Linked DNA regions of Cricetulus griseus. The protein of the gene in region 2 interacts with the protein of the main gene of each other region in a pairwise test. Links are inferred from orthologs where the notes say so. Each region holds a gene or a part of one and is shown on either strand. Other genes may lie near its edges. The genes, in order: Cdc42ep1, Cdc42, Pak3, Cdc42se1, Arhgdia and Plekhg4.

Region 1 (5,044 bases), about 360 Mb from region 2:
GGCACTAGCATAGGAATGAGAAACTGACTTGAAAGTGTAGTGACTGTCCTGTGGGCTTCTCGGGAAGAAACGAGAGAGGTGAGTTCCCCATCCCAGCAACCTTCAGCCCAGACAACATGCCTTTGCTGGCATATTCCAGTTCTCTGGGGGTTCAAATCTATTCTACCTGGAGAGGTCAAGAGAAAGGAGGCGCCCTGCCAAGGTCTTGTGAACTGCTGTGTACACAGCCTGCCACAGAGCCAGCAGAACCCTCTGCCTCCAAGGTGCTTCCTGGAAAAAGGATCCTGTGGTCAGAAGTGGCTTTTTCCAGCCGGCTCCTGCACGCTTGAACAGATTGAATGCCCTAAGAAGGCCTGGAGAAAGGGCTTTATCATTTGGTCAGGTTGATGGAAGAGCCTTGTTGGGGAACACGTTTTTAGGGGAAAAAAATAGTCCTATGGGTGCCAAAAGCTATTCCCTGCCTACAATTGTCCTTCCTGATCCCTCACCCACTTCCTCTGCTGTCCTACCCTTCTCAGAGGGCCCCTCTGTGTCCCTACTTCTCTTTCTCTAGGTGTCTGGAGGGCACTTAGGATCCTGTAAGCCCATACTCTGGTTTTGTTTGACCCAGAGAGGGCCACGCTTGTTCAAGGTCTCATCAAAAAGCTAGTCCAAACTTGAACTCGGGGCTTCTGACTCACATAAGCCCTTGCCGGCTTTCGGGGCCCAGTCTTGTTTCCCTGAGCACTTTGAGGGTGTGGCGATGCCTGGATTTTCCTGCCTTTCTCCCTCCCAGCGCTTAGCACATGGCCAAATCTACAGCCAGCCTAATCATTAGCTGAGATAACCTTCCGGCCAGAGGACCACCCCCTGCCACCTTCTGAGGGGGTAGAGTAGACTGGGGACTCAGAGTGCTCACCCTTTGACCTTGGGCAAGTCACCACACACCTGTTCAACTGATAAAGATCTAGACCTGAGTTTCAACTTTTTTTTTTTTTAAATTTTCTCAACCCTAGTTGCCGCCTGCAAGCATAAAATTCTCAATGCAGCCCTTCTATGTTATTTGAAATTCAAAATAGGTTAACTAACAAAATAAAACAAAGAGGAGAACTGGACAAAGCTTGCTTTGTTTTGGGACCGCATTCTCTTCCTTCCCACCATCGGATCCTCCTCCAATCCTAGCTCCTCCCCCCTGGGGGGGTGACTTCTGAATCATCCCTTTCCCTGGCACCCCCAGCTCCGAGAAGTCCTCGTGGAATGTTTGCTGAAGTTATAAAGCATTCTGCTTGTTGTTGGCTGACCAATGACATGATGTCATTAGATGATTCTCCAACACCCCCTTGAGGCTAGAAGGCTGGCTCAGGCTACAAAGAGCACTGACATGCCCAGGGAACAGACTCATCCAAGGTCCCGTGGCAGGTAAACACCGGCCAGGTTTCCCAGCTCCACAGAAGACTAGTCGCTAAACTTTAGAGTCTAATGGAAGGAGCTGTGCAGCCGGATAGGGCTCACTTTGTAAAATGGCACATGGAGGGGTCAGCTGTGTCTACCATGTGAACACAGCCCCCACCCCCATCCTCTAACTTCTGAGTGTCTTCCAGGCTCCTGCCCCGACCAACCCCCTGACCAACCTTATGATGAAGCCACCTCCCAAATGCCTCTGGGTACATCTAGATAGCATTTTCTACATTTATACCATCTACAGCAGCAGAGTATCCTGGCCCAACTTCAGCTACTGTCTTCCCATGGAGAAAACAGAAGGGCCTCCCAGCCAGAGAAAGGAGGAAGGGGCAGAAGACATAAAAACTCAATTCCCCCACCCCAGAGCAGGCAGGCCTGGGCTCAAATCCAACACTTCCTAAGTAAGGGTCATCTTTTATTCTAGTGACCCTTGGTGGCAGCCACCTACCGCTTGGTGTTAGCCACAGACTACCCTGGCCTTTACATTCACACCACCTGTGCTGGGTGTTGAGCACAGGCCCCTTTTCTCAAAAGCCCAGGAAACAGCCCCTGTAAACGCTCAATTCACCCATTTTACCTGGGGAAAATGAACCCTAGGTCACAGAACAGAAACAGTGTGCGCGCTGGAGCTTGTTTCCGTTCTACCAATGCTGGCAGAAATGCTTTGCCAGTGGAGTGACAATGGCAGAAGTGGGGAAGTTATTAGAGGGAGGAATGCGGATCCTGGCTCTGCGGTTAAGCATCTATGACCTAGGCATGAGAGGCCACATGTGAGATGTCAGTATCCCCGGAGCTCTTAAATTTACTGATCAACAGTATGGACACGTGGCAAGAGCTCCCTTGGTAGTAATGACCACAGGGACAAGTTTGGGGGCTTTAGCAGGATGCATTCACTCAGAGGCCAACAATGATGGATGTGGAGGCAAGGAAGCCACTCCGATGGTGGGGAAGGACCAGGTGGTAGAGGTAGCCGCTTCTTGGAATACCCAGATACTCCCTCAGGCAGGTGCGCAAAGCCTGATTGGGGTGGGGTGGGGGGTGTACAGCTCTTTGACGTCAACTCAGGACGGTGGAATTCTGTTACTTCAGATGTCCCCAACCAGTGATGTTTGGGATTAGAAGTTAAATCCTCAGCACTTTGAGGTGGAAGACAGGGAAACTGAGGCCAGAAAGGGGGTAGTAAACTGCTAAATTTCACTGCCCTTAGGACAGGAGGAGGCGCCTCGGGCCATTAGGGAGCAAAGTGAGAGTTAAAACGCAGGGTTTTTGTTTGTTGACAAGGTCTCCCAATGTAGTCTATGCTGACCTCGAAATTGTGACCCTCCTGCCTCAGTTTCCCAAGTGTTGGGATTAACTTGGGTGCCACTACAGATTTACTAAGATGCCTCCTTGCCCCAGCATCCCAAATTAAAGCTAAGCAGCCCTCCACTCTGCCTTTGTGCTCTCTCAGCCTCAGTTTCCCGGTCTAGAAAACGGGCTTCAAACTTGGTGAGTCTTGCATAGTTGGGACAAGGGCAGAATCAGTTGTGATGGGAAGTTCAGGAAAGACTTCAACCGGGAAACATTCCCTTCTGGGGACCTCGGAGGGGAGACTTTGGAGTGCCCCTTACTCCGGTCCGGCGCGGGCAGCGGCAGCGGTGGCCAGAAGGGAACCGGACGGGATGACCTCATCCGTTGCTCCAGTCTGGAATGCAGCTGGGGAGGGGGCAGGGTGCCCTGTCCCTGTCCGTCCGCGCTCCCCCTTCCACCCCCCAGCTTCCCGCTACCGCGCTGGCGCCGCCGAGGGGCCCTGGGATCCTTTCCCTTCCGCTGCCCGCGCAGGAATGCGCATAGACGGCCCTGGGCTCGCCCTTTGCCCGCCTCTCGTTTAGTGCTCTGTCCGCCGATCCTTGGTCCCCTGTGCCCTCCCGCAACGTGACAAAACAACCCTAGAAATCTGCGCGTCCCGGCCTTCTACAGGTTGGCCCCATGCGCCCAGGACGGTGCGCACTCCCCCAGCCCGCGCCCGTGGTTACCTCGTGTCGTCGAGCCCGGGGGGTCCAGGGACCGGCGCGCTGGCGAGTCCCTGCGCAGCCCAAGAGTCGCTGGGCCGGTCTGCGCCGCCCTGGCCGCGGGCTTGGTGGCCGGATCCCCGGGCGGGGGCGGGCTGCGGGTTCCCTCCGCCCCTGCTCCGCCTGCAGCGGCCGCGCCCCCTCCTGGGCTAGCCACGCTGCGAGGGCTGTAGGGGCGCGGCGGGGGTGCCAGGCCAGGCCCCTGCCCGCCGCTCCTAGGCGGGGCGACCTCGGAAATGTTCTCTCTGTCCTGAGCCGGGACTGCCCAGAGAGGCCGGCCACTTGGACTCTTTGCTGCCCACTGCTCCTCAGATGACCTCGGGGAATCCAGGACTGACAACTTTGGCCTGGGTCTCTAGCCTTTCCTACTGGAGCTGGGGGAACTGGCTGGAAGACTTTGGATTTTTTAAAGTGTGGGCATTCACTCTTTCCCTTTCTCTTCAGCCCCGTCCTGGCCACCTAATACTAGCCCCATGAGATGCCAGCAGAACACTTAGCTTCTCTAGGGAAGAGTCTACATGTAGAGAGGCCACTAGCATGTGGTAATGTCATAGAGTCTAAAGCTGGTATGGCCCTTCTTCCTTCCTTGCGTTTCAGTGCCTCGGTTTCCCCATGGGGCTAGAGAGATGGCCCAGCGGTTAAGAGTGCTTCCTGCTCTTCCAGAGGATGGAAGTTCTGTTCCCAAAATAAACACATGCGCGCACGGAAGTGCGCGCAGACACACACACACACACACACACACACACACACACACACACACACACACACACAAATCTATTAAAGTGGAGTTATCAAACCAGTCATCAGTTATTACAGTATCTCCTGTTCCCTGCTCTAGCAACTAGGAGAGCTGTTGAACAGGTAAATGAGGTCACACCTTAGAGATCTTTAGTGAGGCCTCCCTACTTCAAAGAAGGCAACAGAGTCAGCCATGCTCAAGGAGAGATGGCCCACTACATCGTGTTGTACCCTCTTCAATTTGAGGACAGACAGGAATCCTGGAAGTTGCAAGTGGCACAGACAGGTCCCTAAGGCAGTCTGGCATTGGGATATTGAGCAAGGTTCCCGGAAAGAGAGGAAACTCAGGTTAAGGCCTGAAGAAATAGAAAGAGCAACAGAGAGCCTAGGGGGTTCACACACTGGATAGACTGTGGGCAAAGTCTCTGAGCTATAGAGCAAGGACAGAGCTGGGCAGCATTGTCCCTGCAGGGTGAGGAGCCATAAGGAGAGGCAGACAGAGGAGAGTGCTATGCTTCCAGGGTTGGCTCTCTGTATTATCACACTGGTCTCCTGGGGAGAGGGCCATTTTTCCCAGCTGGACAAATGATGAAACAAAGCATATTAGTACTTGCTCAATTGGCATGCAGATAAGATTGAGATATAGGTGGTTCGAGATCTTTCCCCCAGGGCAGCCCAGGGAAATCAGGAGGTGTTCCCAAGACTCAGAGGCACTGAAGCACATGGGTGAGGAGGCCGGACAGGACAGAACCAGGCCAGGGCCTGGGTATTTAACTATGGCCAGATGCCTGTGCATGTATAGATGCAATTAAAAA
Region 2 (5,392 bases):
ATATGGCTGGCCAGGCAAATAAAGTAATCTCAACAAATGAAACATGAAGGACTATAGGATGCACAGAAAAACAGTGAGAATGGTAACCCTCACAAATTAGCAAATATTTATTAAAAGGACACACGATGGCCATACCAAGTCACAGCCCTGGATTCACAGGACTTATTTATGTTCTATCAGGGGAAACTGACAGCAAACATTTTGCAAAGACTGAAAAGGCACTATCATAGGAATACAGAATAGCCCTTTAACACTGAGGGACAGAGAGCTGTTTATGGGAGAAAAATGCACCCACTATGAACTGTTCCCCTTTATAAGAGATCTTATACCCTAAAATGATTAAATGTTTCTTATACTCTTAAAAAACAACTAAAATGAGAGAATTCCATTTAAATTGTAGTACTATAAATCAAAGCATAATTTGACCTGTGCTTCCAAACCCTATCAGTGCTACTTCCCAAAAAAGACAAAGTACATAATTGTCCAAATTTAATAGCTTTTGGGTATTTTTTATTTTTATCAGTATACACATAAAAATAAAAATGCTTCTTTCATAGATCATAAGATGACAAGTGGGGCAGCATTAACTAGACACAGTGGATCACAAAAGAGGACACAGAGTTGGGAGGGGAACATATTGGGGACAGGGATCAGGTGGTAGAGAAAGGAGATAGGGATGAACATGATCAAAATATAAAACACTTTGTATGCATGTATGAAAGTATGAAGGAATAAAAACATTTTAAAAAACTATTTCAAGTGCAAAAAAGAAATCCTAAGTAAACAAACTTTGACATTTTGTAAACTTCAGGATTCAGTCTTGATGGGCTTGCTTAGAATACTGGACAGGGGAAATGTGTTTACTAAGCTACGGGGTTGGTCACTGTATGAAACATCTTAAGAGAATGTAACAGAAGACAAGACACCTTTGGGTCTTGAACAAATTACTGTATATATTTTCAAAGCTCCTTTTTAATACTCAGTTAATTACCAATCTTATTTCCTTGCCTTAGTCTAAAACCTAAAACTTCAAAGTAATTGCTTATTTTTATTATTACTGTGTGTATTTCTAAGTGTGTACACATGCATGCTTGCATGCTGCCAAAATGTGAAGATCTGGGACAGTTATTGTTTTTCTTTTTTCAAGACAGGGTCTCTCTAGTCCTTGATGTTCTAGAACTCTCTATGTAGACAAGGGTGGCCTCAAACTCAGAGATACACCTGCCTCTGCCTAAGATTGAAAGTATGGAACACTAAATAAATCCAGCTAGATGACAACTTTTGGGAATCAGGATTCTCTCCTCCCACCATGGGTTCTGGGGATCCAACTAAGGTAGTCAGACCTGCCTGACCAGTGCTTTTATCCACTGAACCATCTCACCAGCCAGATTACTTAATTAAAAAGAAAAAAATACAAACTGGTGCACACACAAACTTTTTAAATAAATACAAATTGGCTCACATATAAACTTTTTAAACATAGAAAGCTAAAAAATACAGTAGTAAATAAATGCTCCAATGTTATACTCCTATGTCACAAAAAGACTAACAGTGTATTTTGGAAGATTCAAGCGCCATACCTACAAACTACAGAAAGTCAATTTGAATACACCACTCTGGTGTTTCTTAACAAGCAATGCTATTTTCTATACAAATGAGCAATAATGGGAAAATTCTTTCTCAAACATGAGCCACCCTTAAAAGGATGCATTACACAAGTGGACCTCATTTGCTCTGCAATGTTAATGTTCTTCAGCACTGCTGCATTTTATAATCAAAGGACACAATTCTAGTGATACAAGTCTAAAAATATTACTCAAGTTTTGGGGGTTAAAAATTAAAACCAAGGGTGGTAATTTAAGTAGTTCATGCCTGTAATCCCAGCACTTAGGCGGCAGGGACTATTCTATCAGTTTCCCATGACAGAACATAAATAAGTCCTATAAAGAGAGACTTAGAAGGAAGGAATGTCCCTTTAAGGTCAAGGCTAGCCAGAACTAAACATAGAGACCCTGTTTCAAAATAAAAAATAAATCCGAAAACCATTTTTAATGGTAAAACTAAAGCATGCAACTTTAAGTTGCAATTCTAACAAAGACAAATCAGATATACAACTAAATTCTCTTTTTAGCTCACCCTTAGCACCATGCACCAAATTTAGGTTCCTTACATCAGGTTAAGTCACAATTGGTCAGTGTGGCAAAGAATTGCTCCCACAAGAAAGTTCAACCGAGTACAGACAGCCAAGGGGACCTTTAAAGTTCATGCCTACCTAAGTGGCTGCAGACAGTGTGTATTCCCTGGCCAAAAATAACCTAAGCCTAAGATTTTTAACCTTTCCGTATTTTAGATGCATCTCAGGCAGCCATCAAGGCAGGCAACATGATTTCAACAACAACAAAAAAAAAAAACACACCACCTGACTCTGAACCGACGTGCTGAGTGGAGTGACCCACTAAGGCCACAAGATGTATCTTAATTTGTGGAGCCCTGACTTGTAGGAGTTAAAACTCTCACCCCTTATGCTGAGATGACGTAATCTTCCACACTGCATTTCTACGGGACTTAAAGGGGAGGAAAGAGGAATTAAAAAAAAAAAAATAGAAAAACCAACAAAGAAAATTTCCTGCTAGTAATGAGGAACCGAGCAAGCGGCCAGGCGGGGTTTCGGGAGGTGCTTAGACAGGTCCCGGAAGGCAAGGAGGCCGGCCCAGTCGCGGGAGCCCCGGGAGCCGCGGGGCAGGAGCGGACGGACACAGCGCGGGGCTGGGGACCGCCGAGGGGCGCAGGCGCAGAGCCGCCCGGTCCGTCACCGTGGCCCCGGCCCGGCCCTGCGGCCGCAGTTCCGCTCCCCTCCCCCGCCGCCCGCCCGCAGCAACGCGTCCACGGCGGAGCCCGGGAAGCAGGAAGTCGAGACCGAAAACGTAGACGGCGGCCGGCGGCCCCCGGCCCCCGGCCCCCAGCCCCCGGCCCGGAACCCGGCCCTACGTCCGCTGCCCCCGTCCAGGAGTCTGCGGAGCCCGGGCGGGCGGGAGGGCGGACGGGCGGAGGGGGAGGGGAGCCGGTGGGATGGGTGTGCCTGGTTCTCCCGCCGCCACTGACAGCTCGGCCGGGATGCGCCCTCCGCCGCCGCCATCCCCGGCAGCGCCTCGTCGCCATTCCGGCCCCAAATCTCTCCGCGACCCCGCCTCGTTCCCCTCAGAACCCGGGCCCGCGGGCGCACGCGAACCCGGCAATCCCCCCCCTCGAGGCCCGCAGGTACCGGGATGCCCCCGACCGCGAGCATCCTCGAGGACCGAGGGAGGGCGGGGGCGCGCGACAGGGACCGGGCGATGCACAACACACTCCCGCGGGGAGGCTACTCGGGCCCCGCACTCACCTCAGCTTCTCCGCCGGGGCGTTGGCAGCACTGCGCGGGGCCTCCTCGGCTGCCGGACAGGGGCACGCGCCTGACGTCAGCACGCAGGGGACGCACGGTTGGGTGCCCGCGGAAGTGGGCGGGACAAAGAGGAAGAAGGGGCTGGAACGGGCCGCGGTGGGCGTGGCTTGGTAGTGGCTCCGCCCGTATCGCGCACGCGCGGGCTGAGTTCCTCCTATACTCAGGTTTTCTGCACGTTTTACCAGTGATTTTTATTCGTAATAAAACTATGAACAGAAGTGTTCACAGTGTTGTCACTAAAGTTTGTTTTTGTCCTTGGAACTTTGTGAAGAAAAGCATTGTAAATATATCTTATTTTTAATTTTTTTATTTTGAGACAAGGTGTCATTATATAGCCCTTGCTGTCCTAGAATGGCTATATAGACCAGACTGTCCCAGAACTCATATTCTCCTGCTTCTGCTTCCTGCGTGCTGATACTCAACACCATGTCTGGGATGTCTTTTTGGTTTGGTTTGGTTTGGTTTGGCTTGGCTTGGTTTTTTTGAGACAGGGTTTCTGTGTATAGCCCTGGCTGTCTGGAACTTGCTATATGGTCCAGGCTGGCCTGGAACTTGGAGATCCGCTTGCCTCTGCTTCCTATGTGCTGGGATTAAAGATGTGCATCCCCATGACCAGGGTACCTTTCTTTAATGACGTTTGAGACAGGGTCTCATGTAGCCCAGGCTGGCTTTGAACACAACTATGTAGCAGAGGTTGACCTTGAACTCCTGATCCTCATCCTTGCACCTCCCAAGTGCTGGGATTGTAGGCATGCATCTCCACACCCTGCATCCTTTTTTGCTTCTCAAAGAGAAATAGAGACTTGTTGTGCACAGCTTTCTGAAGCCCACGGGCCTCTAAACAATCTGCCTGTCAAGGAGTGAGAATAGAATATTGCCCTGGGTTTTGTTTAGAGCTAGAGACCCGCCCCCTCAAAAAGGTCCTGCATTTACTCTGCCTAGCTCCTCTTCCCTGGCCCCCTAGGTTGACTCTTGAAGGGACTCTAGCCAGCCCGAGTGTGGCAAACATGGCCTTGTCCTCCCACATCCCCTCTGTCTTGCTAAAAATCGTTAGATTATAATCCTAAAACTAGCCACCATGGTCCATTCCCTTATTTAGCCACTTCCTCCTCCTGAGGCTGACTGCCAATGTCCAGCTATCAAAGTATTGTAGTCCAGCGATCAAAACCCCCCTTTGTCTTACCTAATTAACCTGTCCAGTCAAATTTCATCCTAACTCAGGATTTCCCCCTTTTACCTTTATAAACTGCTGTTTGTCTATGGGCCATGTCTGTCTCCTCTCAATCCAGAGGCAGTCCTTTGTACCTCTGGGACAAATATTCCTTCCCTCCTCTCCCTTGTTCTCTTTCCCTTCTCCCTGGTCCTCTGTCTCCTGTCTTTGTCTCATATTCCCTGCCCTCTGTCCCCCTGGGTCAAATAAATCTCCTTTGTGCTGAGAACTTGGGGTGTCTTGTGCTAGTCCCTTCAGCTCTGATCTCTCAAATCCTTCTACCTTCCCTGTCTTCTTGGTACCTGTTTGTTTGCTGTCTTCCCTGTTAGTGCGAAAGCCGCTAGAGAATAGGGATCCTGTCCTAGTCTCAGATGCTTCCCGATATCAGAAGAAACATCTTAATAATGTTCATTTGCAAGCCGGGCATTGGTGGCGCACATCTTTAGTCCCAGCACTCGGGAGGCAGAGGCAGGTGGATCTCTGTGAGTTCGAGACCAGCCTGGTCTACAAGAGCTAGTTCCAGGACAGCCTCCAAAGCCACAGAGAAACCCTGTCTTGAAAAACCAAATAATAATAATAATAATAATAATAATAATAATGTTCATTTGCAGGCTGGAAGTGTAGCCCAGTGAGTGGAGTGCTTGCCTAGCATGCACGAAGCCCTGGATTTGATCATCACTACCACTTTAATAAAGTATGGGGGTGAACAGCTCTGATCCCAGAGCTTGGGAGGTGGAAGCAGG
Region 3 (5,293 bases), on a different chromosome or scaffold from region 2:
TGTTTGGAACTCACATCTAGAAGCATTAGGTTAGTACTTGCATCGATCCGAGTCTCAGCACAGCAGCAGCTCAGCTCCACACCAACCCAAGATAATAGGCTCTGGGGTACATTCTTTTCTTTTTAGAGATACTGTCTGATACATTCTGCTATCCACGGCTAATGAGCAAAGAACCTTCATGTGACCAAAGGACCCCAAGGCCACTATTATTACTGCAGGGCATTGGCCAAATGAGCAAAGAAGCTAATTCTACTCCCACCCACCTCTGCTTCTATTTCTTTCAAACAGAACCCAGGGCCACTCAGAGGCCTCATTTAAAGGAGGGGGCATCCATGATGCCAAGCCCTATCATCAGTGTTCACACTCTTCACCAGCATAATCTTGGGCCATCAGGTACTTTGAGTGGAAGTCATCAACCTCCAGGCTGTCCTATTCATCAACCTATGCAATCAGCACCAACACAGTAAAATAGGAGACTTCAAATGAGCTTCTGGTGTATCTTAATTGCATAAGTATTAGAGTAGTCATTATATATCCATTTCAAAACCAATATAGAGCACAGAAATCTTGTGCTACCGTTAATTACCAGTGACACTACTAAAAGTACCTAAAATGTAAAAATTCCTGAATATTCTGCCCTGGTTACTTTCATATGAGTCAAATGACATGGATTTGATATTTATTGCTATAATTTTCATATTTTTCTTGGTGTTTATTAAACATTTACAGCATGAAGGGAAATTCCTGCATTGAAATTGGTAACTTGTTGCATAAGAATGTAATGCAGGTATATCTGTCTTTATCCATTGGCTATGTAAAAAATGTTGTGGAAATGCATTTTTGGTAAAACAAAAAACAAACAAACAAAAAAACCCAAGTTTACTCCAATGGCCAGAGAGGGACTGCTTTTTTTAAGAGTATCTGGTTAGGAACTCTCTTATAAAATGACAAATTCTACAGCCTGAATGATTCCCATTAGGTTCATTTGCATTGCAAGTCCATATATATATATATATATATATGTATATATGTCAGATTTGCTTTAAGCAAAACCTGGTTATATTAATAAATGAGGCAGACATTTCTTAAAATGGGGATACATTTCGATCCTCATCAATTTGCAATACTGGCTCCTTTCAAATTCATCATTAATCATCATTCTAATCCACACAGACTCATTCTGGGATTGCAGAGAATTTGGCAATAATACTTCAGATTCCCTGCAGTCTTATTTAACTATAACCTTGCCTTTGCACATGCTTCTCATTGAGCTTAGGATGCCATTCTCCACTTAGCCACCTGGTGAATTAATTCCACAAGACTTGCTTGACTCAAATGTCACTTTCCCAGTGAAGCTTGCCTTGATCATAACCCCCACCCCCAGCCTGACACCCCCCCCCAGAGCTTCCACAGTACCCTGCCCATCCCTTGTCATACTGTTTCCAAGCTCTAGCTTGCATAACAGCCTACACTCCCTCAGAACCGATCTGATGTTTTATTCATTTCCATATTTCCAGTACCTAACATTACTACTGACACATGGCAGGTGTGCAATAAATGTTGGTCGTTTGACTGATTGCAATCCTTAACGGCTTGTTTTGGAGACTTGAAAAGCAATGTGTTATCAGAAGCAAAAGCAAAAAAAAAATGTTGAAGGAAAGTTAAGGAGTTTTGTTCATCTTTACTGATTTTTCTGTGATTAAAAACAAAATGGCTACATGCTTTATCAAATATGAGCCTGTAGAGCAAATTCACAATTAATAAGTTCACTGGATGTGTTCCTTTTTCTCTAAACATGCAATTATGTCCTAACACATAACAAACTTCCTTGCTGTAAAGACGACTTGAGGATCCACTAATTACAGGAGGTGGGGAGGCACTGCAAGGTTCACTGGAAGAGCCTTTGAATCTCATTGGCTGAGAGAAAAAACCTGCTAAGAAAGTTAGGAATCTTCTGTGGGTGGGGTGGGGGACCAAATCAAGATGTCCACCAAGGTCTGGTTAACCTAGGTGGAAATTTCAAATCCACAGAGTACCAAGCAACTGCCCCAGCTTGGGGGCGGGGGGGTCCCATCACTTTGAAGTCAACATCACCCTTCCAATGTGGGCAAAACAGGTTGGACTTGATCAGCCTGCCTGCATGTTGCTGCAGTCTGGCTTGGCATGGGATGAGACCCAAGGACATGTAATGGCCAAGAGTAGCCCAGCGCCATGGCGCAGAACACACATAGACACACACACACACTGTGTGTGTGTGTATGTGTGTGTGTGTGTGTGTGTGTGTGTGTGTGAGAGAGAGAGAGAGAGAGAGAGAGAGAGAGGAGAGAGAGAGAGAGAGAGAGAGAGAGAGAGAGAGAGAGTCAAATGCACCAGTCCAACTCACACGAAATTCCACACAAAATCTCCAGCACGTCCCTGGCACACAGTACTGCATTCCTGTATGCCCAGTCACACACAGGGAGTGCCCCCTCACATTCTCTTACTTCCCTAGTATGCAGGAGCCCACACCCCACACCACTAGCAGACAGCAGCCTAGCCAGGATCTGGAAACTACTAAGGACCGGTTTTGTCCTGTGTAACAAAGCCTCAGGCCCCCAGGTGCCCAGCTGGATCCACTCCATCCATCTCTCCCCACCCCCATCCCTCAGCTCCCAGAACAAGAGAAAGCTCAGCTTTGGGAAGTGGATGCTGGAAGTGGGGACGCAGAGAAAGAGCTTTAGGGATGGGCGGGAGCAGGAGTCCGAGTAGCTTCAGTACTCTCTCGCCATGAACCAAGAGGGAAGAAATGGCAAAGGGACAGAGGTGTCTTTCTATCCTATCTCCCCCCACAATCTATTCATACAGCAACACAGAAAACTGGGAAATAATCTCCCCTTCCCTCTGCCCGCAGCTCCTCCCAGTGGCTCTGGGAGCCACCGGTGTTTCAGCAACCCGCAACAAAGCGCCCCCAGCACAGACCTGTTCCAACCTCTTTCGTGGCAGGAGAAGGGAAGCTGCTGCCGAGGGTTCTGCCTTTAGCTGCTGGGCAGGAGGAGCCGGGGATGGGGGGGGGGAGGAGCAGGAATTGGAGGAGGAAGAAGGATGAGAGGGGATAGGCGATCACAGCAGCAGCAGTGGCTGTGGAAGGAGGAGGAGGAAGAAAAGGAGGAGGCTGCTTCAGTGGCAGCTGCTGAGGATGCTCTGGCTAGAGGCAGGGCTGGGTGTGCGGTCTGTGGGCTCACGTGCACCCCATGGCCCAGGGATGCGCGCGCGCGCACGCGCGCGTCTGGGTGTGTGAGAGCATCTGGGTCTATTTTGACTGTGATTATTCCAATTTCGACCTGGTCTGGAACTTGCGGTTCCTGCAATCAGGCGGAAGTGAAACCCTTTAAGTCTTCCAAGCCTGACTGTTGGGCCTGGGGAGTGGAGAGGGGGTGTGGGGAAATCCCCTTCTTTTAGCCTTTTTCTTTTTTGTCTAATCACTGGTAGCTTGAATCTGCACCTACTTCTGAAAATCCTATACCCAAAGAGAAAAGAACCTAAAGAAAGTCACAATCACATGGCTGATTGGATCACAGGGCTGGCCATTTGGACAACTCAGAAGATAATTTTTGTCTTCACAAGGGTTAACTCATGAATTGGATTGCCCAAAACTTTATGGACATTGTACATTTTCTCCTTTCGTTCCATTGCTGTATCTCTATGCTGGTAACCAAAGTTCCATATGATCAACCCTGTTTTTAGATCTCTCTCCTCATCAGGGTTATCTAGGCCCCTGGCTTCTTTGATATATGAATGTCTGTTACAGAATCTTCATATTGTTTTTCCCCTGATAATGAGAGGGGTGTTGATTATTACAAGCTCAGCTTTAGATCAGTGTAGTTCTGTGTGCATCTCTAAAGCTAAGAAAACAGTTGTGAAAGGCACAATTTTCTTTTGTGATTCGATATTTGATGAAGTCCTTTGTTAGAGCCTTGGCTTTAACTCACTTCTCCAATGTTTTTGAGTGTTTTGCCTAATGATTTACACTCAGAAAGTACTCTGGGATTTATAAGTTCCCTGCAATAACATCCCTGTGACCCATTCAGCGAGGATACCATCATTCCCATCTTATAAACAACAAATTAAATTCACCAAGATTAAGTTGATTTGTCTAACATTACATGCTGATAGATGGGAGATCCAGAATAAGGTTCTCTGTTTTATACTGTTAAGCCAAAGTTTCTTTTAAAATTATATTTCAAAAAGAAAGTTAAGAGTCCGAAGAGGTCACTCAACAGTTAAGAACTAAAATTGCTCTTTTAAAAAATGCCTTTATTGGCTCTTTAAAAAATAGTGTATTTTATGTGCATAGGTGTGGAGGTGTCAGATCCCCTGGAACTGAAGTTACAGACAGTTGTGAGGTGTTATGTGGGTGCTGGGAATTGAACAGTGTCCTCTGGAAGAGCAGCCAGTGCTCTTAACTACTGAGCAATTTCTCTGCCCCCGCCCCCCAAAAATTGTTCTTACCGAGAACCCAAGTTTGTTTCCCAGAACTCATGTTGGGAGGCTCACAACTACGTGTAACAGCTCCAGGGAATTCAACATCTCCTTTTGGTCTCCACAGACACCTGTACTCAGGTATACATCCCCCCACATAGATACACATGAATTCACATAATAAAAATCAAATCTTTTTATTTAAGGAAATTTAAAAATCATTGGTGTGGTAAAGAAAGTCAATACTAAGTATAGTAAGATTTTCGAAAAAGCATTTCAGTTAAATTGACACATTGCCACACACATGCTAATGGATTGAACAGAGTTAAAATATCTGAGGCCTCAATCTCCAATTCACAGACACAGTCATCCCTTTGATTTTGCTACTAGTGGTATAAACATAATTTGAAATGACTCTACAGAAAGTACAATAGGAAAATGGTCCACTTGGGTTTCCAGGGGCAATAAGCTTATAAGTGGTTGCCCACCAAGCTAGATCTGTCTCCTCCCTAGGCCACAAAAATGAATGATTGTTTGCCACCAAAAAGAAGAAATCTGTATCCTACATAGAAGTCCAAGCAGTCCCATTTCTGGAGCCAGGCAACTTGAGCAATGCAGAGTGACCCAGAGCAATGATACACTTCTCATCTGGGTCTAGAAGTATAACAGTAAAATATAGTGACACAAAGCTAAATAACATAGTTGTCATTATTACAGAAAAGAGAAACAGTGATTTCGTTAATGAGACTCTATTAAAAACAGACAACTTTATTGTTGTTTTTTAGCTTTATTTTTTAAATTTTAGTTTGCATTCTAACCACAGTTCTCCCTCCCA
Region 4 (4,081 bases), on a different chromosome or scaffold from region 2:
GTGAGGGTGGCATTTCTTCTGGGCTGGACATGGAACCAGAACTTCAAGACTGCAGAACCTGAGTTTAAAAAAAAAAAAAAAAAAAAAAAAAAAAAATCAACTATTGGTTTCACACTGTAGCCCAGGCTGCTCTCAAACACACAGAAATCTTCCTGCCTCAACTTCTGAAGTGCTAGAATTACAGGCATGAAGCAGTGTCTGGCCAAACAACTTTTTTTTTTTTTTTTTTTTTTTAAAGGACGATCTAGAGATAGACACAATAGTACACATTTGTAGTCCTAGCTCTTGAAAGTTTCTGGAAGGGGGACCCCAAATTTAAAACCAGCCTGGGCTACAAAGTGAATTTAAGCCACTTCAGCTACCTACCAAAACCCCACTGGAGAAGAAAAAGGCAGTCTGCTCTCAAAGAAAACAAATCCTGGGCCTGGAGAGATGGTTAAGAGCACTGACTGTTCTTCCAGAGGTTCTGAGTTCAATTCCCAGCAACCACATGGTGGCTCACAACCATCTGTAATGTGATCTGATGCCCTCTTCTATCACATACTGCATACATGATAAATAAATAAATAAATCTTAAAAAAAAAAAGAAAAAAGGAAACAAATCCTGAAGGAGACAGCACTATATAGTACATATCTTTGTGGGGGAGTACTAGGAGACAAGTCTCACTATGTAGTCCTAACCTACAGAGATTTGCAGAGATCCCCTGCCTCTGCCCCCAGTGCTGGGCAAAGGTGTGCACCACCATGTCCAGTCTATAGTGCACATTTGAAATTTCTGTAAGGCTCTTTCCTCAAATTTTGTCTTTTTGAGATGGGGGTACCATGTAGCCTACACTGACCTTCGCTTCACTATTTGTTGAAGAGAAGCTTGAACTATTTATTCCTGCTGCCTTTACCTCCAGTGTGCCGGGACTATGGGTGCCATCATGCCCCCCACCCCATTCCTGTAAAGATTGTGTTCCTGAACTTCCATTGTAATTCTTTCCACCAATTCACTTCTCAGTCTAGAATCAAAGGATTAAAGGTCCGAAGCAGGGCAACAGGACATGCTGGCACACGCACAGTGTCAATGGGTTTCTCTTGTCACTTACCAGTCCCATGGGAACTACAAAGCCCTAGAATTGCTCCATGGTCTGTCTCGGTTTCCCTTGGATCTCATCTGCTCCTGAACTGCACCTGTCTGTTGAAAAGCATGTGTCACACAGTCACCTAACTCTCTGCATTCCACAACAAGCAACAATTTACCCCGTGCCCCCAGGAGGGGCTTGACCTCATCTCTTTTCTGACAACGACATCCGTCTGAAGACTTTAAACCTGACCACCATTGTTCTCAGAGAAGTCTCATGAAGACAAGGTAAAACTGAGTCATTTACTAATGAGATACACACACACACACACACACACACACACACACACACACACAATATTTTTTTCTTAGTTTTGTAACCAGTATTAAAAAACTATGTTCAGACCCATCTCCCTTACAGAGAGCAGAAATGCACTAGAGACATTTAGAACAGAGCCTTTCGTGGGCCCAAGACTCCCAGTCACAATGCATCACTCTGACACTGATTCAACAGGTTTTCCTTTTCTATTTCGGGATAGGGTCTCTAGGCCAGGCTAGCCTCAAACTCCCTATGCAGGATGACCCTGAGCCTGCAATCCTTAGTTCCCAGTGCGGAGGTTACAGGTAGGAGTCACCACACCCAGTTTCTGCCGAGCTGGAGATCAAACCTAGAGCTTCCTGCATTCGAGGAGAACACTCTACCAACTGAACTACAGCCTAGATCTGATTAGTTCTCAGTAAGGAGAGCCATGGTTGAGAAGCTCTCCAACTATGACAACATACATACCCCTCACTCCAATGAAGAGCCATATGTAAAGAGGGAGCCAGCCCTAGAGATCAGAAATGCACACCATTGGGGACCAGGTCTACAGTCTAATATCCTTGTTTTTCCATTGAGTACTGTTATGTCCCTCACTTGGCTACACCCCCAAATAAACACCTCCCCCTTCTCTCATTACCATGGCAAGTCCGTCTCCAGCCCCCATCTCTCCAGAGCCAATGTGAGTCAAGTGAACAAAATTCATTGGTTCCCCGATCATGGTTCGGTCAATCCGTCTTCGCCTCTTCTTCTGTTTGGAGAGGAAAGGAGTCACACATGCAGCCATCTCCTTCCCCCCATGGAGGATGGGGAAAAACCACTAAGAGTTAAGGGTTGATTTGGCAGTGTAACTGGCAAACATCAGGGTAGGAAAGACAAAGTTGGAATAACAAATCAGAGACAATGTCACCAGAGTGGTAAGGACATGGCCTGCTGAGTGAACACACAAAGAAAGGACAAAGCCAGCCGGGCGTTGGTGGCGCACGCCTTTAATCCCAGCAATCGGGAGGCAGAGGCAGGCGGATCTCTGAGAGTTCGAGGCCAGCCTGGTCTCCACAGCCAGTGCCAGGATAGGCTCCAAAGCTACACAGCGGAAACCCTGTCTCGAAAAACCAAAAAGAAAGAAAAAGGACAAAGCAAAGTCACCTCTAGATGATGAGGGGACACTGACAGCTCTTAAGTTCTATCTACAACTCCTGCCCACCTCAGAACAGGAGGAGGTGACAGCTAGAACTAGTCAACTCTTCTGTCACACAGTCTCCTTTGTTGCACGTGAACACACCTGCCCTGCCACAGACACTCTCAAGAGGTATGTGAGAAAAGGGTTTTTCACAAGACAGAGCAGAGATGGCGGTCTACTTCATGGCACATGGTAACTAATTCCTGTGTGTCGGGTGGGGTCAGAAGACTTACCGGCTGAGGCTTCTCTACCACGCAGCAGCCCAGTTTGTGCCAAAATTCACTCATATTCCCTGATGGTTCCAGCTTCAGGCCTCTGCCAGAGGCCCCAGAGAGGGCTCTTGTTTTGTTGCTAATCACCCAGTCCTTGTTCTCAGGTATAATAAGCCTTGGGTTCACTCAGCTGGATGGCTCTAGAAATGTGGGAATCATAGAGACCCTTAGCCGTGCAGTGAAAGTTGGAGTCTCAGACCCGAAGCCACTAAAATCATCAGCAAGAGGCTTGGGCAGGCAGGCACAAGGTTCTGTCTTCTTTAGATGTAGACTCCTGAATTTTAGCAGAAAGAAAAAAAAAAAACTGTTAGTGAGAAACATCCCTCCCTATTCCCATTTCCCAGAGACCTTCTGCTAAGCCTCCATCTTCTCTCTCGGAGGCTTTACTACTGGTACCCCACTCCTGACCCCCTCCAAACACAGAAGGCTCACAGTGGCTTCTCACAATAAACAGTGCAAAAAGACCATCAACAGGGTAAGGGGCAATGACTACTGGGACTAAGGAAGAAGGGAGCTAAGAGAACTTTGGATGAGACAGTGAGAGAAAATGAAAAGTGGCAGAAATGAATGCAGGGGTGCTACCAACTTCAGCTCCCCTTTTCCTGGGTTAGGGCAGGAGGGGAGGGGCACATAAGTGACTCCGAAGAGGAAATAGTGGTTTTTGTTCTCACAAACAAGGCCTCCACCCTGTCCCTCCCTGTTTTCTTACCTTGCCCCAGCACCTAAATTTTCTTTAAGGACCACCTAGTTCCTATGACACTAACTCTATCAGTGTGAACCTCAACAAATACTTATGGAGTGAGGAATTTCTTCCTTCTCACTCCATTGCCTTTGTTCCTCCTCACTTGTCCCAGTTGAGGTCGGGCCTCCCAGAGTCCATTTGGAGTTAATATCTGACCTTGCCTTTCCGGAAAGCTGTGTAGACTGTGTGTGCACCTATCCGTGGCCCTAGCTCCATGTCTTGTACACGTAATGTGTGGACTCACTCTCTGTTCTGAGGAATCATTTGCAGCCTCCCCACCCTTTTTCGAGTGTCCCATCGTGTGCAGTTTGGTGTCTTACAACCTTGTAAGGCTCACCACCACCCACCCCTGCTCTGACTGGCTCTCTTCCTTCTCCCCACCACTTTCAAGCTCCATCAGTGAACCAGACACAGGAACTTTCCGGTAGCACCTGTGTCCAAGCAAGAACCTTCTCCTGTTTTCACTGCTGCCATCCTGGGGTGACAGCCCTTCTGAGTTTCC
Region 5 (5,175 bases), on a different chromosome or scaffold from region 2:
CATCAGGCCAGCTGGCCCAAATGGAGGCAATAAATACTGACAGGCCAGGCACGAGGTTCAGGCCACAGGGCCCAGGTGAGACTAGTAAGGCTCGGCTGGCTTTGTCCTCGGGGGCTCTGTGGGGACAGGGGCTTTGAGTGCTGCCTACAAGGACAGAGAAGGCAGAGGAATGAGGCACCCTGTCCTGCCTCCTAGGTGGGGCTGGAGGCATTGAGTTTTGGCAATTGACCCTCCCCTAGCTACTGGAGCCACCCCCAACCCTGGCCATGGGGAGGGGGAAAGAGCTGGCCAGGCCTGCAGGAAGCAACAGCAGCACACTCCAGGCCTCCCTGGGTGGGTCACCAGGATGGGGATGGCAGACAAGGCAAGGACAGGGGAGACCACATGCTCATGCAGACAGTGGAGTTAAGAGTTAGCGACGGCCCCCAGTACATGTTCCACATGTTAAGGCATCATGGTTAGACAGTGACTGACAGTGATGGATGACCTGGCCAGGGGGGGTGGTGCTTAGAGGACACAACCCAGCCCTTCCCCCAGGCCCAGCATTCTAGCTAGCTCAGCTGGGGCAGAGACAAGGTGGGCTGGGCAACCCAGACAGTGTTCCATTCCATTCTAGAAGCCAGGGCCTGAGGAAGGGACGACAGAGGAAACCTGGGGGACACAGCAGATTGGAGGCCTGGGCTGAAACCCCTCCCCCACTGCACAGGCAGAAGCAGCAATGTGACAACACTGGAGACCACAGGGGCCTGCAGGCAGGAGGTGGAGGAGGGGCAGACAGAAGAGGGGAGGAATGGTGAGGGAGGGTCCTGTCAGCACTTTGGTTTGGGGTGGGTAGGGGTTGGGGGTGGGGCATGTCGGTCCTTCTGTCTGTCCGCCGCCCTGCCCGCCTCCCAGCTGGAGCTCAGTCCTTCCACTCCTTTTTGATGGTGAGGTTCCATTCCCAGGACAGGTGGTCCGTCTTGTCATCGTCTGTGAATCGGGACTTGATGTTGTAGCTGCCCCGAGCGAGCATGCCTTTGGGGGCCTCTTCCATGGGTGTCAGGAACTCATACTCCTCAGCCCGGGGCCCATAGCTCCCGACCATGTAGTCGGTCTTGTCGACTGTGGTGTGGACAGGAAAGGCATGGTTAGTGGCCACGCAAGCCCCTCCCGGGACCCACAGGCTTCCCACTCTATCGGTACGACCACTTACTTTTGACCCCTTTCCTGTATGTGTGCTGGATGTACTTCATGCCTGACACGATCTCTCTGTTCACCTGTGGGGACACAGAGCAAGGGTCAGCCGGCCCCCCAGTGCTGATGCTCTGCCCCTCTGCCAGGCCTCTCCAATCCTCCACCTTACCCGGAAAGAGATTTTTATCCGGTACTCCACACCTTCCTTCAACACAAACGACTGTTTCTTGAAGCTCTCCAGATCACCTGTATGGGGAGGAGGCACAGCCAATTGCCTGGAGGCTTTCCATCCTGCCCCCACGTTCCCTTTCCACAGCCCCTTCCGTGACACAAAGCAGGGCCTTGGAGAGCACCTAGCTGCACTTTCCCCCCTGCCCCACCAGAGGGCACCAGTGCAGAAAATTATTTTTAGGGGCAGCGGCTGGATGCCAGCTGGCCCCACCCAGGGACTCCAAAACCCACTCACCTGTCAGGTCCAGTTCCAGAGGGCCCGGGGACGTGCTGCACACCAAGGTCAGGCGGGTCACAATGACATTGGGGACATTGGGGTCTGGAGAGCAAGAGTCATGAATCAAGAGCTCCATTCCTTAGATTTTTTTTAACTCCCTGGAAGGAGGGGGGCAGACTGGAAAGGGGGTGGTGACAGGGTCAGGTGACATCCACCTACCTGCAGAGACAGCCACTCGGCCCAGCAGGGCCTCCTTATACTTTCGAAGGCTCTCATCATCCTTGTCCAGTTCCTGGATCTCCTGGATGCTCTTCTGGGCTGGGGGCTTGTAGTTGACAGAGTGCTCATCCTCCTCATTCTCGGCCGCGATCTGCGCAAGCTGCTCAGCGGTGGGCTCCTGTTCTGCCATGCTCACCTCTAACCTGGGATACCTGTGGGTGGGCAGCGAGCAGAGCGGTGACAGCCCGGAGGCATTGCAACCTAGAGGGACCCTGACACCTGCCGGGAAATGATGGAGGTAGCCACGCCAGGGCAACTTTTAGAGGAGATAGGAGGCGCTGCCACTGCCCAACTAACTCAAGAGGCTCGTTTGAGAGGGCTACACCCCAGGCACACCATGAAGCCACAAAATGGGGACCACAGCCCGTTCCTCAGAGAAGCAGAACAGCTTTCCTCCCCATGAAGAATGAGTAGCCTCCTGACCAAACGGAACTGGGAGAAGCAACGTTAAACCACGTGGGTCCTGCTGCTGCCCCTAGATGCCCGGGATCTAACCCAAAGACACTCTCACTGGGTCACGGGGAGAAGTTCTCTGAAACGGGGATGCTCTGTGTCCTAGCCACGTGCAGGACAAGGGTCTGTTCCTTCCTGCCGGTGGAATACCGTCCTAAGCTCAACTGCGTGGCGACCAAATGAGACGGTAAATATGCAAGCCCGACCTCCCTTGTGAGGGGTCCGCGAACGCAGAGTGGGAGCTGGTGCACCGGTTGCAAAATAAATCTCAGGAGCCCATTGCTGGACCCTGGTCCTAAAGCGTCTGTGGCGGTGCGGAACCACGCCGGGACGGAAGCGCCTCGGTGCCTTTCAGTTCCGCAGATCCCCACCCGTCCCCCAGACACCCACTCGAGCCCTGCAGGCGATGCGCGGCGGTCGGGGCAGCCGCCGCCCCTCTGGGAGGCGTGCGCCAGAGACTCGGGGGGAGCGCCGGCCCGACACCCGGAGGGTCCCGGAGGCCCCGCCCGACGCGGCCAAGCGTGGCCGCGGGCGACAGCATCCAGGGCGCGGCCCGCGCTTCCGCAGGGCCCGCAATCCGGGAGGGCGGGGGGGGCCGCGCGGCGGGAGCGGCAGGCCGGGCGGGCCCCAGGCCGGACCCCGCCCGCGCGGCCGGGAAAGGGCGCCCCCGCCCCCGACCCGCACCGGGACCCGGACCCGGGACCGGGACGCGGCGCCCAGGCCCGGGCAGCGGCGGCGCTTCGGGCAGGACCTAGAAGGCGCCCGGCCCGCCCGCTGCCGTGACCGCGCCCGCCGCCCGCGCTCGCCCGGGGCCCGCCGCACGCCCGCCCGCCCGCCGGCCCGCGAGCGCCGGGGTCGCCGCACAAAGCCAGCCCCCTCCCCTCGCGCGCCGCCCCGCGCCAGGCAGCGCGCCACTCACCGGAGGCTCGACCGTCGCTCTCGCGCTCCCTCCCGCACCAAGTGACGAACGTCGTCCGCCGCCCGCCGCCCGGACGGTCACTTCCGGGGTCACAAGACTTCCGCTCTCGCGGGCGTGCGGGCGGGGGGCGCCGTGCGCATGCGCCGGCAGGGGGCGCCGGTCGGCGCCGCCGCCATTTTGCGGCCGGCCTCGTGGGCGCGTCGCGCGTGGGCCGGCGGCGTCGCGCGGGGCATCGAGGGGCGTCCGCGGCGCGTGTGGGCCGAGGCCCGGGCCCTTGGGCTCCGGGGCGGCCGCTCTGCCGCCCGGGTTCCGCGGCCGCCGCGCCCGGGCCTCGTCCCCCATTGTCCCTGCAACGCAGAGATGGCAGCGCCGCACGCACGCACGCACGCACGCACGCTCGCGCCGCCGGGCGCGTGGCTTCGCGGGCCGTGGCCCTCTGGGGTCCCCACGAGTTCCCCTCGCCGCGCCCCGCGGGGCCGGCTCACCCCGAGACGGGCAGGAGCCTCCGCAGGGACGAGAGCCAGCACCGCTGCCGCCCTGGGCGTCCGCCACCGCGCTGAAAAGATGACTGGAGGGAAACAGTCGCCCGCCGTTCATCCGCCACGTTTACGGCCTCGTTACGTCACGCGAGCACTTGTTCCCCTGGCCACGCATCCCCAACTCTGAAGCAAGCCAGGTGTCCTTTCAAGCGTAACCGTTTCATGCACTGTTTTCTTCGTCCGAGGAAGATGGCTCCGCAGTGTCCTCTCCCTGCTGCTCAGTGGCAAACTACTGCAAAACCAAACGCTGTCACCACTTGACTGTCCCCACTCTTCCTCTGTGATGGAGTCCGCTTGCCACACACGCACGCACACCACACACAGACACACACAGACACGCACACCACACACACGCACGCACACCACACACAGACAGACACACACACACAGAGACACACACACAGACACACACGCACACACCACACACACAGAGACACACGCACACACGCACAGACATGCACGCACACCACACACACACACAGACACACACACACACAGAGACACACACACAGACACACACACACAGACAGAGACACACACACACAGAGACACACACACAGACACACACGCACGCACACACACACCACACACACACCCTCACAGAGACACACACGCACACACGCACAGACATGCACGCACACCACACACAGACACACACACACACACACACACAGACATGCACGCACACCACACACACACACACAGACACACACACAGAGACACACGCACAGACATGCACGCACACCACACACACAGACACACACACACACAGAGACACACACGCACAGACATGCACGCACACCACACACAGACACACACACACAGACACACACAGACACACACACAGAGACACACACAGAGAGACACACGCACGCAAACACGCCCAGTGAGTCAAGCTAGCTTTTCAGGAGGCTCGAAGTCCTGCACCCAGTGGGCCTAGTTTATTGAACTCTGACCCACCCACAACTCCTTAGTTTGAAGCACTTGGCTCCAAGTGCAAATCTTCCAAAGCGGCTTCTCTTTTATTTAATTTTTTAAATATTTTTCTTTTGGTTGTTCAAGACAGGGTTTCTGTATGTAGCTTTGGAGTCTGCCCAGGAACTTGCTCTGTAGACCAGGCTGGCCTTGAACTCAGAGATCCTCTTGCCTCTGCCTCCCGAGTGCTGGGACTAAAGGCGAGCAACCCACCACCACCACCTGGCCTTTTTACTTTTTGGATTTATTTTTATTTCCTGCATATAAGTGTTTTGTCTGTGTGTGTGTGTGTGTCTGCACCGTGTGTATGCAGCAACCACAGAGGTCAGAAGAGCTCTGCAACTGGAATTAGACTAGTTGTGAGTGACACCGAGTGAGTGCTAGGAATT
Region 6 (5,187 bases), on a different chromosome or scaffold from region 2:
AGGTATTAGCTGCAACCATGGTAGAAACAACAGCAGTTCCCCTGTCCATCTCAGACTCTTAGGCAGATTCTGAAGAGCAAAGGAACAGGGCTGGCTTTGGAGTTGTCCTACTCTGGTCCCCGCCCCCCAACCATGCCTTTTGTCCCTCCTTCCTCTAGTTTCAGGGAGCATTGGGTCCAGTCTTGGCTTCTGTCCTTGGTTCTTGTCCCAGGCCACCCCCACTGAGTCATTGCCTCCCCGTCCCTCTCTTCCCTCTCCTCCCTCTCCACTCTGAGGCTCACCTCCACCCACCAGCCAGGCCCCCAGGAGCTGTAAGAAGTAGAGGGACCTTCTGGCAGGTACATACCCCGTCAGAGTGATGGAAGCAAATAAGAGGCATCAGGCATAGGTAGGCCCTAGCTAACCTGGGCCCATGGAGCACAGCAGGCAGTTGGGGGAGGGCACACATGCTGAGATAGAGGCAGGACTAGGCTGTGGCTTTCCCATTCCACATAGAATGTGCCCTGTAAGCAGACTGTATGCTGTCCACTTTCATACTTCTAGCTCTGCACTTCAGACCTGGCACAGAATTAATATTTAGGGGTATCTAAGACTAGTCACAATGCCCCTACCGCCCTGAACTGTCCATCTGTGGGTCATGTGGAAACCAGAGTTAGAGAAAGTCACTGATAGAGACAGACCCAGACAGAAGAGGCAGAGGGCTGTACGACAAACAAATCTGGGATGGTAAAGGCACAAACAGAAACAGGGACAGACACTGGCCTAGTGGGGGACATTGGGGGACTAGGCCTAGAGCCAACCTGGGGTGGCTGACCACAGCAGGCTTTGTGGGCTGAGCTTGCAAGTCTGAACCGTGACTCATGGAAGCCATCTCTGGTTCTGCTGGCTGCTGAAGCCTTTTCCACTGAGATCGTCAAATGTGGACAGGCCCCTCCCCTGCTCCTTCACTAGTCCTCTCCTGACTGTCTTTTCTTCACACATGACCAATTTTTTTAAAAAAAAGTAAAAAGAAAGAAAAAAGTGACCTCTGGGCTTTGTTAGGCTTGGGGATACAGGAGCAATACCATAATTACTTAAATTCTGGTTACCCTTCTTCAGTGCGACTGTAAACAGCAAAGACAACCTCAGACCCCTCTCATCTTTGACCTAAATAACCCCTTTCTTGGCTCCTTAGTATGGCATTCAAGTTCCCCAGAGGCATCACTTTTTACCTAACTCCCAGACCACTCTTGGAAACGCAGCTGACTAAGTCTTTTGTTTCATGCTACTTTCTCTGATTTTGAAGACCCTCATCATCCTCAAAATCCTTCCTTTTAGCCTGGTGCTGTGGTACATGCCTCTTCACCTACTTGAGATAAAAAGGCTGGAAGATCACAAGTTCAAGGCTAGCCTGCTCTACATAAGTAAAAAAGTTCCAGGCAAGACAGTAAGACAGAGCTTCATAACAAGGTCCTGTCTTTTTTTTTTTTTTTTTTTTTTTTTAGATGGAGGGAAGCTGGGGAGATAGCTCTGTGGGTAATGTGTTTGCCTTACAAGCATAAGGCTCTGAGTTTGATCCTCAGGGCTTTTTTTTTTTTAAAGCTAAACATAGTAGCACACACTTGTAATTTTTGCTGAGGAGGCAGAGACAGGCAGATCCTGTGGCTCACTAGCTAGTCAGCCCAGCCTAGTTAGCAAGCTCCAGGCTCATGAGAGACCTATGTTAATTCAAAGTGGATAGCTTCTGAACACACACACACACACACACACACACACACACACACACACACACACTTTCCTCTTTAAGGCCTAGATCCAACAGTCCTCTCCATACATCCCAAGTAGCATAACCACCCATGTCATTTTGTCCAGTCAAGTGGACAAACTCTTGACTTGCTTGCTCCTACAGAGCAAATGCCTGGCACCTTTTCCCACTTTCCAAGATGTGCTCCCTAGCTTTTTGGGCCTAGAGAGATCTGCTAAATCAAAACTCTTGGAGTAGGTGGGCATAGTGGCACATGCCTTTAATCCCAGCACTGGGGTGGGGAGGGTGCAGGCAGGCAGATCTGTGAGTTTGAGGCCAGCATGGTCTACATATCAAGTTTCAGGCTAGTTAGGGTTACATAGTGAGAGCTTGGCTCCAAAAATCAGACACTTTGGAGTAGGCTCAGGAATCTCCATGCTTGGGCCAGCTCCCCAGTTATCCTGACACTAAAAAGCAGTGGAAACAATTGCCTATTGTTTCGTCCTCTTCACCTACTGTGCTGCTGAAGTAGCCTCCGGAGTGCCCCTCCATCTCTAGCTTCCCTTTCTTGGAATCCACTACTTAAGCTTCCACAATCTACTACTCTTCCTATCCCCCTTCTTCCCAGAATTCAAAGAGCCACAGCATTCTCCACGCATCTTTGCCTTGCAGAATAAACACGATAAAGTAAAAACTTACCATTTGTTCCCACAGAGCCAGGGCTAGGACAATTCCTTCCCATTTTAATCCTACCTGTAATCTTATGAGATACTAAATATAATTGTTAACCCTTGTTATTGTTGTTTTGTTTATGGGACATGATTTCACTGTGTACCTCTCGATAGCCTGGGATTTTTTATGTAGACCCGGCTGGCCTCAACTCCACAGGGATCCACCTTCTTCCACATCCCCAGTGTTGGGATTAAAGGCATTTTGCCACTACACATTGCTTCAACCATCCTATTATAGAAGAGAAAACCAAGTCTCAAAAAGCTTAGGGTAACAGGCCCCGATGATATAGATAGTAACAGCTAGGATTGACTCCGGATTGTTAAGTACTTTAATTAACTATCAAGCCCTATCAACCAGCTGTTAGCAAACTTGAATATAAAGCTGTCACTCTTCCTTCTCTACCTTTTTCTCATGCACAGAAAAAAAAAAAAAAGTTGACCAAGCCTGTGGGTTTTTGATGTGTTCCAAGGTCCTCAGACTCAGAGACATGAAAAGTGGGCTAGAGAATGCCTATGGATGTGTGGTGGGTGGGATGAGGGGAGATGTCAGTACAGAACTTCATGGGGGAATGATGAAAATGTTCTATTCTTATATCATGAGAAGGTTTGTACAACTATGTGAATATACTAAAAACTGGGGCTGGAGAAGACTCAGTGGTTGAAGCACTTGTTGCTCTTCCAGAGGACCAGAGTTTGATTCCCAGCACCCACACCAGGTGTACAAACACATGCAACTCAAGCTCCAGGTGACCCAGTGCCTCTGGCTTCTGAGGGTACCTGCACTCATGTACATACCTACATGCAGACACACATACCTACACACAATTATAACAAAAATAAACCTTGGTTTGAGACAGTCTCTCTATGTAGCCCTGGTTGTCTCTGGATTTGCCACATAGACCAGGATGGCTTTGAACCCATAGACATGGACCTGCCTTTGTCTCTTGAATGCTGGGATTAAAGATATGCACCACCATACCCAGCAAAAATAAATATTAAAAACAAAACAAACAAATTTAACTGTACATTTTAAACAAGTGAATTTTATGGTGTTTATTCTCAAAGATGTTTTAAAAAAAAATCTTCAGGCACATTAGGAATTAGACTGGGGGAATGCTGTTATCCACAGATTTCAGGACCCATACTGCTTTGATTTGTCTTATAAATTCTCAGGGTGGTCAACTCCCTGGAGCTTGACTTCCTACCTGTCATATGAGGAGAGCCACTTGTTCACTTGGCTCACACCTGTCCTTAAACTGTCCTAGAAATGTCTCTATGGTACCCTTGGATAGTTTAGACTGTGACCTCCAGGGTGTTCTTCCTGCTGTCCTTTCCCATTTTGTGGACTCCCAGTTCTGAGACACCTTCTTCCCCAACCCATACAGTGGTCCCCTAGATTGCCACTCCATGCCTCCTGTTAGAAAAGTACTTACGAGGACCAGAGGGACTAAGAGCTTTGTCTAAAAACTCCCCTACTATTCTCTACTCCTGAAAATCTTGGAACAGGCAGATCCTTCTTGTCCCACCCCTGAAAGCCTGAGACAAATGGACAGAGGACACTCATCCATCTAAGAGATATTTAATGTATCTTGGGTTTAAGGTACAAAACACAAGGCAGGGGCTAACCCCAGGAAAGCCACCTGTTACTCAGTCAACTGTCCCCAAACATTGCAGCCAGGCATCCTAGCCCCCTATAGTAACAGTGCAGTGGCCCTGGGATACCTGGTTCCTTTTCCCTTTGGGAAATTTTGAGGTGGAGACATAGGAGCCCAGAGGCCTCTTTGTTTCCTACTCAGAAATCTCAGATCCAAGTCTCAGAACATTCCTGACTCACGCCTAGAGTAGCTGACTGGCTAAAAAGCAGCTCTGACTTAAAGCCTGGCCCAGGGCCTAGTCCTAGAAAAGGAGGCACCATTACCTCAATGTCTGGCAGCAAAGGGAAAGGGCTAAAACAAAATGTGGAGGCAGACTCCCACTACTCCTGAAGCTGACCCAACTCATTAGTTGAGCCAAAGGCTGAGGCCTGAGCTACATCCTACCCCTGTTATTCTGAGGACCAGCCCCTCATAAAGCCTCATTGCCAGAGCACTGATCCTGACCTGATGCTGGGGGGTAGAGGAAGGTTAGGGGAGACCAGTGTCCACAGAAGAATGACACCCTTGCTTTGGGGGCAAGAACAGCTGCCAACAGTAAGTCCAGGAAGACACCCTAGAGAAGGGACATAAGCTTGTGGATCTATCCCCTAGAACTCTGGACTGGATCCTGAGCCATTTTTTGAAATGGAAAGTGGAAAGGGTTAAGAGCAGGGAGAGTGGTAAGAAGGGTCCCTGTGAGGACCAGCCCAGGAAACCCTTCTGACCAATCCCAAGGAGGCCCAGTTGCCACTTCAGTCCAGGCCCCCATGGCCCCATACTAGGCTGTATAGGCTCCTCTGCCCATTGCCTGAGGAATACTCCCCACAGGGGCTCTACATCCTGCTCTTCCCTGAGGCCCTGGGCTACAGCCGCCCCCCCCTGTTGAACTGGATGCACCAGTGGGAGTTGGCAGTGCCTGGACTAAGATGAGTGTGGTCCTTGTGGCCCATGAGGGGCTGCAGCTCCTGCTGCTGGGGAATGTCAGCACTGCTCTCACTTCGAGAACGGCCAGCTTTGGCCAGGCTTGGGGGGAAGGCGAAGCTAGAACGAGGGTCAGAAGACATGTCAAGAGGAACCTGGGTCTCTTCCATACCCAGTG

The links.
Region 1: the proteins of Cdc42 (region 2) and Cdc42ep1 interact in binary tests that used the Homo sapiens proteins (3 or more experiments, as listed by UniProt). The link is inferred for Cricetulus griseus from reciprocal best matches to the Homo sapiens genes CDC42 and CDC42EP1.
Region 3: the proteins of Cdc42 (region 2) and Pak3 interact in a two-hybrid assay, tested with the Homo sapiens proteins (2 studies listed by BioGRID and IntAct). The link is inferred for Cricetulus griseus from reciprocal best matches to the Homo sapiens genes CDC42 and PAK3.
Region 4: the proteins of Cdc42 (region 2) and Cdc42se1 interact in binary tests that used the Homo sapiens proteins (3 or more experiments, as listed by UniProt). The link is inferred for Cricetulus griseus from reciprocal best matches to the Homo sapiens genes CDC42 and CDC42SE1.
Region 5: the proteins of Cdc42 (region 2) and Arhgdia interact in binary tests that used the Homo sapiens proteins (3 or more experiments, as listed by UniProt). The link is inferred for Cricetulus griseus from reciprocal best matches to the Homo sapiens genes CDC42 and ARHGDIA.
Region 6: the proteins of Cdc42 (region 2) and Plekhg4 interact in a two-hybrid assay, tested with the Homo sapiens proteins (2 studies listed by BioGRID and IntAct, with this or other methods). The link is inferred for Cricetulus griseus from reciprocal best matches to the Homo sapiens genes CDC42 and PLEKHG4.

The regions. Positions count from the first base shown.
Region 1 is NC_048595.1:375,939,555-375,944,598, reverse strand, and holds the start of Cdc42ep1 (cdc42 effector protein 1), read right to left. Parts: upstream 3,614-5,044; 5' UTR 3,456-3,613; intron 1-3,455. UniProt on the Homo sapiens protein: Probably involved in the organization of the actin cytoskeleton. Induced membrane extensions in fibroblasts.
Region 2 is NC_048595.1:15,952,310-15,957,701, reverse strand, and holds the start of Cdc42 (cell division control protein 42 homolog), read right to left. Parts: upstream 3,502-5,392; 5' UTR 3,380-3,501; intron 1-3,379. UniProt on the Homo sapiens protein: Plasma membrane-associated small GTPase which cycles between an active GTP-bound and an inactive GDP-bound state. In active state binds to a variety of effector proteins to regulate cellular responses. Involved in epithelial cell polarization processes.
Region 3 is NC_048604.1:37,087,249-37,092,541, forward strand, and holds the start of Pak3 (serine/threonine-protein kinase PAK 3), read right to left. Parts: upstream 3,235-5,293; 5' UTR 2,969-3,234; exon of another isoform or gene 2,959-2,968; intron 1-2,958. UniProt on the Homo sapiens protein: Serine/threonine protein kinase that plays a role in a variety of different signaling pathways including cytoskeleton regulation, cell migration, or cell cycle regulation.
Region 4 is NW_023276806.1:61,270,216-61,274,296, forward strand, and holds part of Cdc42se1 (CDC42 small effector protein 1), read right to left. Parts: intron 3,112-4,081; 5' UTR 2,853-3,111; coding exon 2,799-2,852; intron 2,137-2,798; coding exon 2,026-2,136; intron 1,181-2,025; coding exon 1,106-1,180; 3' UTR 1,092-1,105; intron 59-1,091; 3' UTR 1-58. UniProt on the Homo sapiens protein: Probably involved in the organization of the actin cytoskeleton by acting downstream of CDC42, inducing actin filament assembly. Alters CDC42-induced cell shape changes.
Region 5 is NC_048600.1:133,067,573-133,072,747, forward strand, and holds Arhgdia (rho GDP-dissociation inhibitor 1), read right to left. Parts: upstream 3,408-5,175; 5' UTR 3,273-3,407; intron 2,709-3,272; exon of another isoform or gene 2,560-2,708; intron 2,053-2,559; 5' UTR 2,031-2,052; coding exon 1,841-2,030; intron 1,724-1,840; coding exon 1,640-1,723; intron 1,420-1,639; coding exon 1,343-1,419; intron 1,257-1,342; coding exon 1,193-1,256; intron 1,102-1,192; coding exon 902-1,101; 3' UTR 817-901; downstream 1-816. UniProt on the Homo sapiens protein: Controls Rho proteins homeostasis. Regulates the GDP/GTP exchange reaction of the Rho proteins by inhibiting the dissociation of GDP from them, and the subsequent binding of GTP to them.
Region 6 is NC_048596.1:181,655,075-181,660,261, reverse strand, and holds the start of Plekhg4 (puratrophin-1), read right to left. Parts: upstream 3,266-5,187; 5' UTR 801-3,265; intron 773-800; exon of another isoform or gene 347-772; intron 285-346; exon of another isoform or gene 1-284. Other genes in the region: Slc9a5 (sodium/hydrogen exchanger 5), read right to left, coding at 4,952-5,187. UniProt on the Homo sapiens protein: Possible role in intracellular signaling and cytoskeleton dynamics at the Golgi.